4 linked regions of the Callithrix jacchus genome follow. Each later gene encodes a partner of the first gene's protein in a complex. Links are inferred from orthologs where the notes say so. Each region holds a gene or a part of one and is shown on either strand. Other genes may lie near its edges.

Region 1 (4,309 bases):
CTGTGAGAACAGGGTTATTCACTGCTGTGTCCCCAGATGCTAGGACAGCACATGGCACAGGGTAGACAGTTGGTAAATACTTTTGAATAAATTAAATGATACTTGGGAAAGCAGCCCTTTTATGACACCATTCTTGAATCAGCTACTTCATTTTATTACTGAAGATAAGCTTGCTTCACCAAGGATTTGAACTAATGAGGTAACCCCTAGGTATTTAGTAACCAGATTCTTTGAGCACGGAGGCAGAATACAATAGAGAATTAGAGGTGTTTGCATCCTGGCTGTAACCTCACCAGCCGTACTCCTTGGGACATGTTGCTTTGCCTCTGTCAATGAGATGGGAATAACGGTACTTACTCCTTAGTATTAAATGTGCTAACAGGGAGAAGGCCAAACGTTTGTTATTTATGTTACACAGCAGGACATTATGTCTTATTTTTGTAGCTCCCCATGTCAAAGACGGGGAAGTCAAATGTTTCAAGCAGAAAAAAATCCAGGCTGAACAACGGGACTGTTGGGGCGGGGCCAAAAACTTCTGCTCAAATTAACAGAATTAATGGGCCAAGCGATGTGGCTCACGCCTGTAATCCCAGCACTTTGGGAGGCCGAGGTGGGTGGAACATCTGAGGTCATACATGGGTGAAACCCCATCTCTACTAAAAACACAAACATTTGCTGGGTGTGGAGGCGCCTGTAATTCCAGCTACTCGGGAGGCTGAGGCAGGAGAATCGCTCAAACCCGGCAGGCGGAGTTTGCAGTAAGCCGAGATCGCGCCACTGCACTCTAGCCTGGGCGAAAGAGCAAGACTCCGTCTCAAACCAAAAAACAAAATTAATGAAATGTAGTATAACCCTCAGGCCCTACTATTAACACTTAGGGGAGAATCCAGACCCAGTCTCCCGTTCGGATTCAGAACACCTTCCGGACTCACTGGCCCTAGGGATCAGCTACCTAGGACAGCATCGTTTTGGGAAAATGCCGCCCACCAGCCCCACCACAGGGAAAGAGTCGGACAACACCCACGAGTACGCCAGTTCCCTTAGACTTCCCTCAGCTAGGGCCTGCCGTTTCCTAGTGCGTGCACAGCCGCCCTCAGGTCACCTTCACTACAGGGCCAAGGACCCCGTGGGAACTCGCAGGCCTTGCCACTCTCGTTCCTCGCGCGTCCATGGAGGGGTGCCTAGAGAGAAGACCTGCGTGGCAAAAACCTAAACGAAGAGATGAGGGGCATGGAGAAGAGTAGAAAAAGATCAGAAAGATAACAGTGGGAGGAGATGTTAGTTTCCTTTATAACTTTTGTTACTGGCGGTAGCAGGGAAGTTAGAAATGGTTTTAAAACAAATTTCAGACAGGCATTTTCCAAAGGCAAGCCTGGAGCGCGCGGATCCATACAACTGCGGAAGGCCCTGTTTCCGGTCCTTTGCGCCTGCGCTCTTGCAGCCAAGAAGGCGGGAGGCCGCAGTAGAGAGAAGGCTGCAACCGGAAGTGAAGGCAGATTTCCCTCCTTCGTCGCTGTTGCTGCCGCCATACGCGCTCTCCCTGCTTAGGTAAGCTTCGGCCTTCGCTACAATCCGTTTTCATCTGCGCTTCTCCGTACCCATCCCGTCACATGGGTTCCTGATACCCTCTTCACAGGCGCTGGTCTGATCGCTGGGGCCTAGTTGGTTCGTTATTTCTGTAGCCTGCATCCCTTTCGAGAGCAAACTGTTCCTGGGGGGAGGAAGGGTAGCTAAGAGGGGGCCCAATCCAAGATGGTGTCCTCGGCGCCATTGTGTTCGCTTTGCTCCCTTCATCCAGTGGGTTCTTCTCATATTGGAGGCCTCATCATCAATGAGAGGCGGCGCTAGGCGTCCCTTGGTCTTGGTATTTGCGGAGGGCGGGGCTCTTCTCACCTTCCTTGTCTTTTTTTGGGCCCTTTCTCGGCCCACGATGGGGCTGGGAGGAGGAGCCGGTTGGATTTTTCTCACCTCGACTTGCCCAACCTAATCTGGAGTGCCTTCCAAGTGTTTACGATTGGTGTCATTGTATGTTTCTCAGAAAGGAGTCTCACCTTCGTAGCGCAACAGTGATGTGAGACCACTTGGTAAAGATTTTGTCGAAGCCTGGGTGGGGATTGCCTTTCTCTGTCAACTCTTAGCTTATTGTAGGGTGGAGACGTGAAATTTTTTGTTGTTGTTGCTGAGCCATTTGTCTTGCACTGCCCGCCCCATGCTAATTACACAAGGATATCTTAACGGAAGGGAGGGTACTGAGAAGTGGGAGGTGGACGGCGGCCATATGATGTTTTCCTTTCGAAAGGTGAGCGCTTTGCGCAGTGATGACCCTCATCTATCACCCTTGACTGATGGCTGCTGAGTTAGGCATCTGCACGTTGGGATTATAATAGGGAAAGCGCGGTCCTATGAGGATTTTTCGGACTCTGTCATCTCCATTTTCCACTTCTCCAAGTTATTAGTAGTATTTTATCCTTTATTATCTATTTTGTTTCATCCTTGTTACTTTCAGATCAAGAATTTATTTTTTTTTCTTTTTATTTATTTATTTTTAAAGATGGGGTTTCACCATGATGGCCAGGCTGGTCTTGAACTCCTGACCTCAGGTGATCCACCCACCTCGGCCTCCCAAAGGGCTAGGATTACAGGCGTGAGCCACTGCGCCCGGCCCAGATCAAGAATGTATAAGTTGGTCTTCCTGTTCCAACTTTTCTGGTTTCTGCTACTCGGATTGCTAATCTTGTTGGGATCCTGTGTCCTAAGCATTTTCCCTGGGACTGCTTTTTCTATGCTGTTTTATTTGCTTTTCGCTTGTATGTTTTGTATCTGTTTCTCTTTCCAGGTAAAAGTTTCCCAGTTTAGGGGAAGTGGGAACTGGGGATGGAAAAGAGGAGGTGAAGGCTCTGCTTATGACTAAATCTTGCTTTTTTTTTCTCCCCCCCCCTGCAGCTCTTCTTTTAGAAACTAGTATCTTTGCTTTCCTTTGCTGTTCATCAACCCCCTAATTTTCACCCCTTGTTTTCACCTATTTTCCAAGAACCCATCCAGAGCCCCCTTCCCTTTTTCCCCTGCCGGCCCAGTTATGGCAGAGAACGATGTAGACAATGAGCTCTTGGACTATGAAGATGATGAGGTGGAGACAGCAGCTGGGGGAGATGGGGCTGAGGCCCCTGCCAAGAAGGATGTCAAGGGCTCCTATGTCTCCATCCACAGCTCTGGCTTTCGTGACTTCCTGCTCAAGCCAGAGTTGCTCCGGGCCATTGTCGACTGTGGCTTTGAGCATCCATCAGAAGGTAAATTTTCTCTTGGGCATGTATGCTCATTAGGCTCTTTAAGGATGATAAAAAGATGTGTTCATTGTTGCTCAGGTGGTAAAGGTTTATACTTAAGGCTAGATCAGGACCAGTTGCAGTCGCTCATTCCTGTAATCCCAGCACTATGGGAGGCCAAGGTAGGAGAGGGTCAGTTGAGCTCAAGAGTGCAGGAGAAGCCTGGGAAACCTAGGGACTCCTGTCTCTATGAAACGTTCAAAAATTAGCCAGGTGTGGTGGCGTACACATGGAGAGGTATGGCAAGCCAGGGGAGGATTGCTTGGGCCCTGAAGATTGGGGCTGTAGTGAACCATTATTGTACTACAGTACGCCAGCCTGGGTGACAGCAAGGGAAAAAAAATCAGGAGATAAGTATCAAAAACAATTTTGGATATAGGAGGCTTATACAGGTTTATTGTTTCTTTTATGATAGCAACAAAGTGCCAGTGATTCAAGAGTAACTTATAGGTCTGCTCTTCATTCTTGTGACTGGCTTTTCTTCTCCAAGACGGAGTCTTGCTCTTTCGCCAGGCTGGAGTGCAGTGGCATGATCTCAGCTCACTGCACCCTCCATCTCCTGGGTTCAAGTGATTTTCCTTCCTCAGCCTCAAGAGTAGCTGGGACTATAGGCATGCACCACCTTGCCTGGCTGATTTTTTTTTTGTATTTTAGTAGAGATAGATTTCATCATGTTGGCCAGGATGGTCTCAATCTCTTGACTTCATGGTCAGCCCACCTCGGGCTCCCAAAGTGTTGGGATTAAGGCGTGAGCCACCATGGCCGGCCTTGTCTGCTTATTTTTAATTTTGTCACTTCTAATTTTAAATTTCCAGAGAGCTCCTGGTTGGACCTGTAGACCCCCTTTGTTGGGCCAGGCCACCTGTGGTCTCTGGAAGCCTCTGTGACTGGTTTAAAGATGACTGGCTTCTGGGTCAGGTACCAAGTCCTTCATTTCGTTCAGGGTTGCAGTTATGTGATCCAAAGTAGGGCAGTCTAAGTAGGAA
Region 2 (3,521 bases), on another chromosome or scaffold:
TGGTCTCGATCTCTTGACCTCATTACAGGCATGAGCCACCGCGCCCGGCTCACTGAATGTTTAATGTGTAGAAACAGGCAGGCACCAACTTATGTATCACTACTAAAGAAAACTACTCCAAGCCCCAATTAACTTAATATAGCAATAGTTTCCCTAATAGATGCAGCAATCATATATTAAATGAGGTTGCTTGTTATTGAAAGAAACACTCTCAGGAATCCCCTTGGAAAACAAAGAATCCCTATTTAATTTGAGTAATTAGAATTAGCCTTGGGTTTGTTTGCTTTAAGTCTGGATTTTCACATATTCAGATGCCTTTAAAGAGCACACTCTGCTATTATGCTCACCATCAATCAATCTATGATCAGTGAATGAATGGCTTCTATATTGAAGAGAAAGGAAAAAATATCCAAGCTCATCAATAAAGAGATAACGCGGTGGCTCACGCCTGTGATCCCAGCACTTTGGGAGGCCCAGGTGGGTGGATCACGAGGTCAAGAGATCAAGACCATCCTGGTCAACATGGTGAAACCCTGTCTCTACTAAAAATACAAAAAATTAGCTGGGCATGGTGGCGCGTGCCTGTAATCCCAGCTACTCAGGAGGCTGAGGCAGGAGAATTGCCTGAACCCAGGAGGCGGAGGCTGCGGTGAGCCGAGATTGCGCCACTGCACTCCAGCCTGGGTAACAAGAGCGAAACTCCGTCTCAAAAAAATAAAAAAATAAAAACAAAATAAAAAGAAAGAGATAACGTCTCTCTCTCTCTTTTTTTTTTCCCATCCTAGAGAGGATCCCAGAGAGAGATAATGTCTCTAAAAAGGTACCCCAATCTTCTTTCATTGTCCCTCTGGTTTCAGAGCCTATGCTCTTAATCACTATACTAACTGCTGGAATACCCTTCCCTAAGAAAGCTCTAGGGCACTAACTTTCAATGAGAAAAACAGAGCAGACCCGGTCCTCACTCCTGAAAAAGACTTAAGAAATTTGTCTAGTCCAGTGGTTCCCAAACTGCTGGCTGTGTACAAACAGGAGCTCATTAACAATATAAATTTCAGGCCGGGCACGGTGGCTCACGCCTATAATCCCAGCACTTTGGGAGGCCGAGGTGGGTGGATCACAAGGTCAAGAGATCAAGACCATTCTGGTCAGCAAGGTAAAACCCCATCTCTACTAAAAATACAAAAAAAAAAATTAGCTGGGCATGGTGGTGTGCACCTTAGTCCCAGCTACTCGGGAGGCTGAGGCAGGAGAATTGCTTGAACCCAGGAGGCGGAGGTTGCAGTGAGCCGAGATCATGCCATTGCACTCCAGTCTGGGTAACAACAGCGAAACTCCATCTCAAAAAAAATCATATATATATATATAAAAATATAAATTTCGGCCAGGTATGGGAGCTCATGCTTATAATCCAGTACTTTGGGAGACTGATGCGGGAGGACTGCATAAGCCCAGGAGTTCAAGACCAGCCTGGGCAACATGACAAAACCCTGTTTCTACAAAACATACAAAAATTAGCTGAGCATGGTGGCATGTACCTGTTGTCCCAGATACTCAGGAGGCTGAGGTGGGAGGATCACCTGAGCCTGCCTGGGTGGTTAAGGCTGTAGTGAGCCATGACTGTGCCACTGCACTCTAGCCTGGGCGAGAGAATGAGATCTTGTCTCAAAAAGAAAAAAAAAGAAAAACTAAAAATTATATAAACTTCTAGGTCCCACCCTGGAAACTTTTTTTTGGAGACAGTATCACTCCATCATCCAGGTTGAAGTGCAGTGACATGATCTCGGCTCACTGCAGCCTCTACCTCCCAGGTTCAAGCGATTCTCCTGCCTCAGCTTCTGGAGTAGCTGGGACTATATAGGTGTGTGCCACCACTCCTGGCTGATTTTTATATTTTTTGTAGAGGCAGGGTTCTGCCATGTTGGCCAGCCTGGTCTTGAAATTCTGGCCTCAAGCGATCTACCTACTTCAGCCTCCCAAATGCTGGAATTACAGGCATAAGCTACCATGCCTGGCCAACCACAGCTTTTTTTCTTTTTCTTTTTTTTCTGTCGCCCAGGCTGGAGTGCAGTGACACAATCCCCGCACACTGCAGCTTCTGCCTCCTGGGTTAAAGCAATTCTCCTGCCTCAGCCTCCCCAGCAGCTGGGACTACAGGCAAGCACCATCATACCCAGCTAATATATATATATTATATTATAAAGCAGCCTATATATATATATATATAGGCTAATATATATATATATATATATATATATATATATATATATATTTTTTTTTTTAGTAGAGATGGGGTTTCACCATGTTGGCCAGTCTAGTCTTGAACTCCTGACTTCAAGTGATCCACTCTCCTTGGCCTCCCAAAGTGCTGGGATTACAGGCATGAGCCACTGTGCCTGGGCCAATCACAGCTTTTTCATCAGAATGAACTAGCAAGACACCTCACCTGGGTTGATGATCTCATCATCCTCACTGAATGTCACCCTTGAGTTCTTCCTCTTCCTCTTTGGTCTTTGAATGTCCAGATTTCCCTCTTCAATGGTAAGGGTAGAAATCCGCTTGTTGTGGGCAGTGTTGAACTCTGTCAGGTTCTAAGCCAGGGTTCATACAGGAAAGACAGGAGTCAGTACAAAGGGAATCTGATGGAGAAAATAATACTAAATAAAGGTCAGGAAGGCATGAGGGGCTAATCTTGACTTACAAAGACAGATGAGACTCTTCTGCATTTAGAGAAGATCCATACTATGCCGACACTACTAATATTAACAAGTCTCAAATCTCATTAGAAAGAATGTGGAAGGAACATCCTCATTGACTAGTGGGGCAGTGATATTCAAAAGGAAGTAAAGGGCCTTGAGCTGAGAACATGTCCATCTGTGCAAATACTTGAGTTGTGTTATCTTTTGCTGTTAAAGAAAGACTCTCATGTCTTCATGTCCACAACAAGCTGATAATTAAAAGGAAATGTGGCTGGGAGGAACATCAATAATTGTTTTCAAGTAACAAAATAGAGATGAAAAAGGACAATTGGCTGCTTCTTTCCCAGTAGCTTTCTCCTTTAAAATTAAAGAGACTGCTAGTGCCCTTAATTTTCGGCGTTAATATTTTGTCATTCCCCGTTGTGTGTCTGGTCCCAGTTCTATTCATAACTATCTCAATAATTAACTTGGCCTGCTGCTTGCCTCTTCCCAATCCACTGAAATTATTCCATTCTGGTACAAAACACCAGTTTGAGATACTCTAAATGTCTTAAGAATGAATATCCAGGGAGCATCTAACATGCTGAACTAAAAGCCATGGAAGCACAGAAGCAGCCTGGATAGAGGCGGCCTGAAGGGGAAATGGGCAACGGTGACTGCCAGCAAGGTCCCTGGCTATGAACCTACTTCTTCACAAGAAAACGACTTCTAAACTGTACAATTTCTATTGTGCCTTTCTTCCTAAGAGCTGGGAAACTGCTCTGGTGTACAGGAATAGTAAATGCATGTGGGTGGTTAAGGACATGACTGCATTTGGTCTATTTG
Region 3 (2,203 bases), on another chromosome or scaffold:
TATTAGACTTGATAAGTTTAAAGAAAGATGAGATAACGTTCCAGAAGGGTTTCTGATAAACTTAATTTGAAAACCATCTTACTTTACACCCTGATTATCTGTACCCTTGTTACCACCTGCCTATCTTACTAAACAAGGTTATGTATTTTAATTATAAACTTAGTGAATCTCAAATCTTAGGTTCAGTTAAGGTTTTCTTTTTTAACTATAGTTGTCAGTTAATTACTTTCCTTTTTTGATAGAATAATAATTGTTCAAATAGCATTTAGAGATGATCCTGTGACAAGGGATTCATTATGTGTGCTTTCCATGTGTGGCTTTCTACCCAGTGTCTTTCCTGTTTTCCACATTTCTCCTCTTTCCCTGCCCTTCAGCTTTTCTCAGCTAGGCCCTGCAACTCTAAGGGGCATTTACTATAGCACCTATTAAACTTATTTGTAACTGTCTCTCTTTTTTTTTTTTTTTTTCTCCTTTGGGCCAGGTCGGGGTATGATAGGTCGGGGAAGAGGGGGCTTTGGAGGCCGAGGCCGAGGCCGTGGACGAGGGAGAGGTGCCCTTGCTCGCCCTGTATTGACCAAGGAGCAGCTGGACAACCAATTGGATGCATACATGTCGAAAACAAAAGGACACCTGGATGCTGAGTTGGATGCCTACATGGCGCAGACAGATCCCGAAACCAATGATTGAAGCCTGCCCACCCTGCCATGAGAGACTCTTGTTAGTCCACACGTCTGTAAATAGCCTTGAGATAACAGATGAGAAGAAATCTGATTGATGCTGGATGGACCTATTACAATAGGCTATGGACTTACTTGCCACCAGCTTGTGCATTTAGTGTGTTCCTTTTACTTTTTGATACTGTATTGTATGAAGCCCTTTTGTCCTTTGATTTGGTTTTTTGTTTTTGTTTTCTTTTTCGGGGGTGGGGTATTTTCCCCTCCTGTACCCAGACTTCTCTTTGAACACAAATGCATTAGCCTTGTGGCTAGAACACCCTCTTCCTACCTCTGCCTTCCCTCACTTGTCAGATGCTCTGACATGCTAACATTTCTTTTGTTGATCTCTGTTGCCCCCACAGAAAGGTCCCAGAAAAAAAAGTGTTCCTCCCTGATGCTTAGATTTCTGAGGTAGGGTTCTGTCACATCCTCTTCAATAGCCTCTTTAAAATGTTAAGAAAGTCTGGAGCTCAAAGATGCATTCTTCCACATTGATAATTTAGTAAATGAGCACATTGACATCACTACAGGGCAGCATAAGAGGTTGCTTACATGTGATAGCAGCTCTGATTTGGTCAAAGTTGCTACCATGTACATTGACACATGTATAACCAGCATGCTGGGTTGAGTTGTACTAGATTTCTACCATTCTGTGAGATTTACACACTTTCTCTTGGCTTTGTATCCAGGAGGGTACTATAGGGTTGGTTTATACCTATAAATAATACAGAGGAAAAAGCCATTTGATTTGGTAGGTGTGTCAGAATGGAGAATGATGGCGGATGAAGTGCTGGAAGAGGTCAGAAAATATCCATGCCAAAATGTAATTATCCTCATTTTATCCCAAACCAATCTCGGGACTTTTCCACTCACTAGCTTTATTTCACCCTTATTTCCCTTGAAAGTTTAAGTTCAACCAATTGTAACTGTTCCAGTTTCAGTGGAATCTTGTATTTCTGGTTCATTATAACAAATTGTTTGCTCAAATCCACCCAGTACTCTTTATTTGGAGCGCCTCAAAATGCTGTGGCTACTTTAATGATGTCTTTTGAGACGGAGTCTTGCTTTGTCGCCAGGCTACAGTACAATGGTGTGATCTTGGCTCACTGCAACCTCTGCCTCTGGGTTCAAGCAATTCTCCCTCAGCCTCCCAATTAGCCTGGATTACAGGCACACGCCAGCACACCCAGCTAATTTTTGTATTTTTAGTAGAGACGGTTTCACCATGTTGGCCAGGATGGTCTCCGTCTCTCAACCTCATGATCCACCCACCTCGGCCTCCCAAAGTGCTGGGATTACAAGTGTGAGCCACTGTGCCTTGCCGCTTTAATGATATCTTTATATACCCCTTGTGTGGTTGAGAGAATCTCTTCCTGCTTGTGTTAAAATTCTGGAGAGACTGTGGCTTTAGCAGAAAGTGAAGAATTTGACTTCCTCTGAGCCCTGCAGAAATAATATGCCCACAAAAAAGCAAGATCATCTTGGGC
Region 4 (3,521 bases), on another chromosome or scaffold:
AAATTAATGTCGTTAAACTTTTATACGAGATGCCTAATCATGCATTCATTCATTAGGCATAGTTAGATGAGTTCCACAATGTAATATTCCTTGTCTGGTTTCCATCAATTTTCAGTCTGTTCTTAGGTTATTGACTTTATACATTACTCTTGTGTGTGTTTGATGTTTTTAATGGAAAACATTGTACAAAATGTAGTCTGTACTTGAGACTTTTAAGAAGGGTAAGGACTTAAGAGCTTAAACTGTAGAGGCATAAATGCATTTTTATTTTAGGGGGAATTTTTCTTTTTGAGAGATTATTATTTGCTTATGTGACATGTTTTTAAATTATCCATAAATATATTTTGTTAAATTCAATTTGGCCAATATTTATTGAGCTTCTATTCAGTGTGAAACACTACTGGCTTAAGCATACAAAAATTCCTACTCTTAAAAAACTCATAGTCTACACTCAAAGGTAACTAGTTGGATGTGCTAAATTCTACAGTATATTTATGTACAGTGTGCTTAAAAAGCGTAAATGAAGTAGCCTGCTTCAAGATATCAGAGTTATTTAGATGAGCTGACATTCACTCTGTGCTTAGAAAGATGGAGTTGAAATGTACCCTGTGGTAAAGATGAGGAAGAATATTTAGGCAGAAAATAACATTGTAAACAAAACATGGAAGGATGAACATAGCATGGTGTTTGGGAACTGGGGAGTGGGAACCAGGGAGGGATGTCTGTAGCCCAGGTAAAGATAAGAAGAGAGGCTGGTATGGAAGCTGGAGCACAGGTTGTGAAAGCTCTTGGGGGATCACACTATAACCCAGTGGTTCCCAGACTTGCTGGCTCATCAGAACCGCCAGTGAATCTATTTTTAAATGAGATTCTCAAACCTTACTTAGTCCTACTGACTCAGAATCTTTGGCAGTAGAATCTAGAAAATTTTCTTAAGTTCTATAATTATTAAATGTGAGTTTACTTATTCCAGGCTATACTGCAACTAAGGGCAGAGAGTATGCTTCTCAAATCTTTTGGATGTGCAGGATATATAATATCACTGAATCTAAGTATTGTTAGGGACTTCAGAGGTTGTCTAGTCCAGTCTCATCTCTAGCCCAGACTGCTTCTCTGCTGTAACATCCTTGATGGGTAGTCATCCAGCTCTGCTGAATCATGCTCATTAGAGGAACTCACTGTTAGAGTCCTGTTAGACAGAACTAGTTATTGGTGTGTTCCCTTGTATTGAGTTGAAATCTGTTCTTTATTCCACCCACTGCTTTTAGGCAGTATCCCTCACATCGCATTTCAGATGTGATCTTACTAGTGCAGAGTAGAGCTGGAAATATTTCTTCCTTTTTCTGGACATACTATATTAATAGATCATTTGGGGCTTAGAGCACCCTAGATATTTTCCCTCCATATACCATGCCTAAGTGGCTATTTTTCTTAAACACTTATGAGTGTTAGTAAGTACCCATTACCTTAAAATAGAAAGAAGAATGAGTAGGGATATAAAAGTATTTCTGAGTAGTCTAAATGAACTTTTCTTAAGATAAATTTTTATTTTGTTCTTTAAACAGCAACTTTCTACTTTTCCATTCTTTCCCCTGAAACAGTCCTATCATTTTAAATATTAAATAATAGTTAAAATCAGTATCAAACCTTGTTATTTTTTGAAGATAATCTTTTCAAATCACCAAGGCAATTTAGCAGCATTACAAAACATTTGGAAATGAGAAAAAGGGAAAACAGTACTCATAATTCCTCTACTTTTAAAAACTGCCATTCATCTGGTATAATGGTTTAGTTTCTATAGTCTTTTAATAATTTTTTAATGTCATAACCATATGTACATACAGTTTTGAATCCTGCCTTTTTCACTTCGCATTATATCATAAGCATTTTTCCAAGTTGTTATAGTCATTATAACCATCGTTTTTAATTGGCTGCATTATATTCTTTTGAATAGCTTAGTGGTGAAGAAAACAGACTGTGGAGCCAGACTGCCTGGGTTCGTATCCCAGCTCTACCACTTACTGGCTCTATGATCTTGGGCAAGTTATTTAACCTCTCTGTGTCTCAGTTTTCCCATTCTATAAAATACAAATAATGATATGCTCTACCTCATAGGGTTATAAGGATTAATATGTTAGTATATGTAAAGCACTTAGTGTGCCTGACATATAGTAAATGCTCTAGATCTTGTCAAGAATTATCATTACTGAGTGCACATATCAAAAATTACTTAAGTATGTCCTGTTTGGGGACTTTTAGATTGCTTCCATTTCTTTTCCTTTAAAAACCTTGTTATGAGTAACAAAGTGTACATTTTAAGATGTTCTTCAGAATTATTTTTTATGGGCTCTTTTACTCTATAGTTTTTTACACTTTTAAATTGGCTTGTGCTCCACTTGAAGGTATTTGTACTGCATCTACACCTTTTGTATTGTTGGGAGATGTTTTGGATTGTCTTCCTTTGGATCAGTGTGACACAATATTCACTTTTGTGGAAAAAAATGTTGCTACTTGGAAATCAGTAAGTGCCTTAGTTTCTTTTCCTGCTAACTTTATCTGTCTATAGATCCAGAGTTCTGAGGATAGATTTTTTTTTCTAATTTATTTCTAGTATTGCTGATCACGAACAAGTTTGTGACTGTGAAAAAAGTATATACTGCTCTCTTGGTAGAGCCAAATAAAAACCATGTGTGGAGAAAAACTTGAAATACAAAATTTGATTTAATTTGAGTAGTAAAAATTAACTTGAAAATGTACACTTTCACATGTTTAAAACAATTACTTAGTATCATGTTATCTTGTATATCTGAAAAATATTTTTATTTCATTGAAAATGTTATTCACTTAAAAAAAGTGAAAGTGGCGTAGTAGATTCTCAGTGCATGTTAGTATTTGACTTCCTGTGACTTATTATTGAAGAATGTGTAACAAATTCTGAAGAAGAGTGATAATTTCCATCTTAATTTCAGAATACATTCTATTCTGCTGGGAAAAATTACTTACTACGCATGTGCAATGGTAAGTAATTGAGTGATAAAATGTTTGTTTTTAAAATGTAAATGTGCCCAGAAAAACAGGCGGTTGAATTAAATACCAGTGATAACATTTTGAAGGTAGATTAGGTATCTGCATTTTCAACTAACATTCTGATTTGTTAGAACTCACCATTCATTTTAAACTGTTTTTGTTCTGGATGTAAATTTGATGAAAATCAGAAACGTTATAGTAAAGTTTGTCTTTTTCATGTCCTGTTGAACTTGTTTTGTTCCTAATTTATAGTACTTTTTGGGGGCAGTGGTTTCTGCTCCCATTTGAAGAACTGCTTTAGGAAAATACTCTTGACAAACTGGTTTAGAAACTTAAAAGTTTCTAATAAGTTTCTATGGTTGTAATAAACATAGAATTATCCTGTGTAACGTTTATTTTCGTATATTGTTAGATCTCCTAAGAAGATTATCTAAATCCCAGAATACAGTCTTCTGTGGACGAATTCAGCTCTTTTTGGCTAGGCTTTTCCCTCT

Evidence for each region.
Region 2: DDX39B (region 1) and PPP1R8 share a complex: the UniProt entries of both Homo sapiens proteins name them as parts of the spliceosome. The link is inferred for Callithrix jacchus from reciprocal best matches to the Homo sapiens genes DDX39B and PPP1R8.
Region 3: DDX39B (region 1) and CHTOP share a complex: the UniProt entries of both Homo sapiens proteins name them as parts of the transcription/export (TREX) complex. The link is inferred for Callithrix jacchus from reciprocal best matches to the Homo sapiens genes DDX39B and CHTOP.
Region 4: DDX39B (region 1) and THOC1 share a complex: the UniProt entries of both Homo sapiens proteins name them as parts of the transcription/export (TREX) complex. The link is inferred for Callithrix jacchus from reciprocal best matches to the Homo sapiens genes DDX39B and THOC1.

Annotation. Positions count from the first base shown.
Region 1 is NC_133505.1:39,026,368-39,030,676, reverse strand, and holds the start of DDX39B (spliceosome RNA helicase DDX39B), read left to right. Parts: upstream 1-1,494; 5' UTR 1,495-1,548; exon of another isoform or gene 1,549-1,665; intron 1,666-1,736; exon of another isoform or gene 1,737-2,084; intron 2,085-2,273; exon of another isoform or gene 2,274-2,351; intron 2,352-2,943; 5' UTR 2,944-3,076; coding exon 3,077-3,287; intron 3,288-4,309. UniProt on the Homo sapiens protein: Involved in nuclear export of spliced and unspliced mRNA. Component of the TREX complex which is thought to couple mRNA transcription, processing and nuclear export, and specifically associates with spliced mRNA and not with unspliced pre-mRNA.
Region 2 is NC_133508.1:64,505,562-64,509,082, reverse strand, and holds part of PPP1R8 (nuclear inhibitor of protein phosphatase 1), read right to left. Parts: intron 2,589-3,521; coding exon 2,444-2,588; intron 1-2,443. UniProt on the Homo sapiens protein: Inhibitor subunit of the major nuclear protein phosphatase-1 (PP-1). It has RNA-binding activity but does not cleave RNA and may target PP-1 to RNA-associated substrates. May also be involved in pre-mRNA splicing.
Region 3 is NC_133519.1:14,065,731-14,067,933, forward strand, and holds the end of CHTOP (chromatin target of PRMT1 protein), read left to right. Parts: intron 1-481; coding exon 482-687; 3' UTR 688-1,703; downstream 1,704-2,203. UniProt on the Homo sapiens protein: Plays an important role in the ligand-dependent activation of estrogen receptor target genes. May play a role in the silencing of fetal globin genes.
Region 4 is NC_133514.1:63,767,194-63,770,714, forward strand, and holds part of THOC1 (THO complex subunit 1), read left to right. Parts: exon of another isoform or gene 1-1,996; intron 1,997-2,402; coding exon 2,403-2,521; intron 2,522-2,969; coding exon 2,970-3,018; intron 3,019-3,439; coding exon 3,440-3,521. UniProt on the Homo sapiens protein: Component of the THO subcomplex of the TREX complex which is thought to couple mRNA transcription, processing and nuclear export, and which specifically associates with spliced mRNA and not with unspliced pre-mRNA.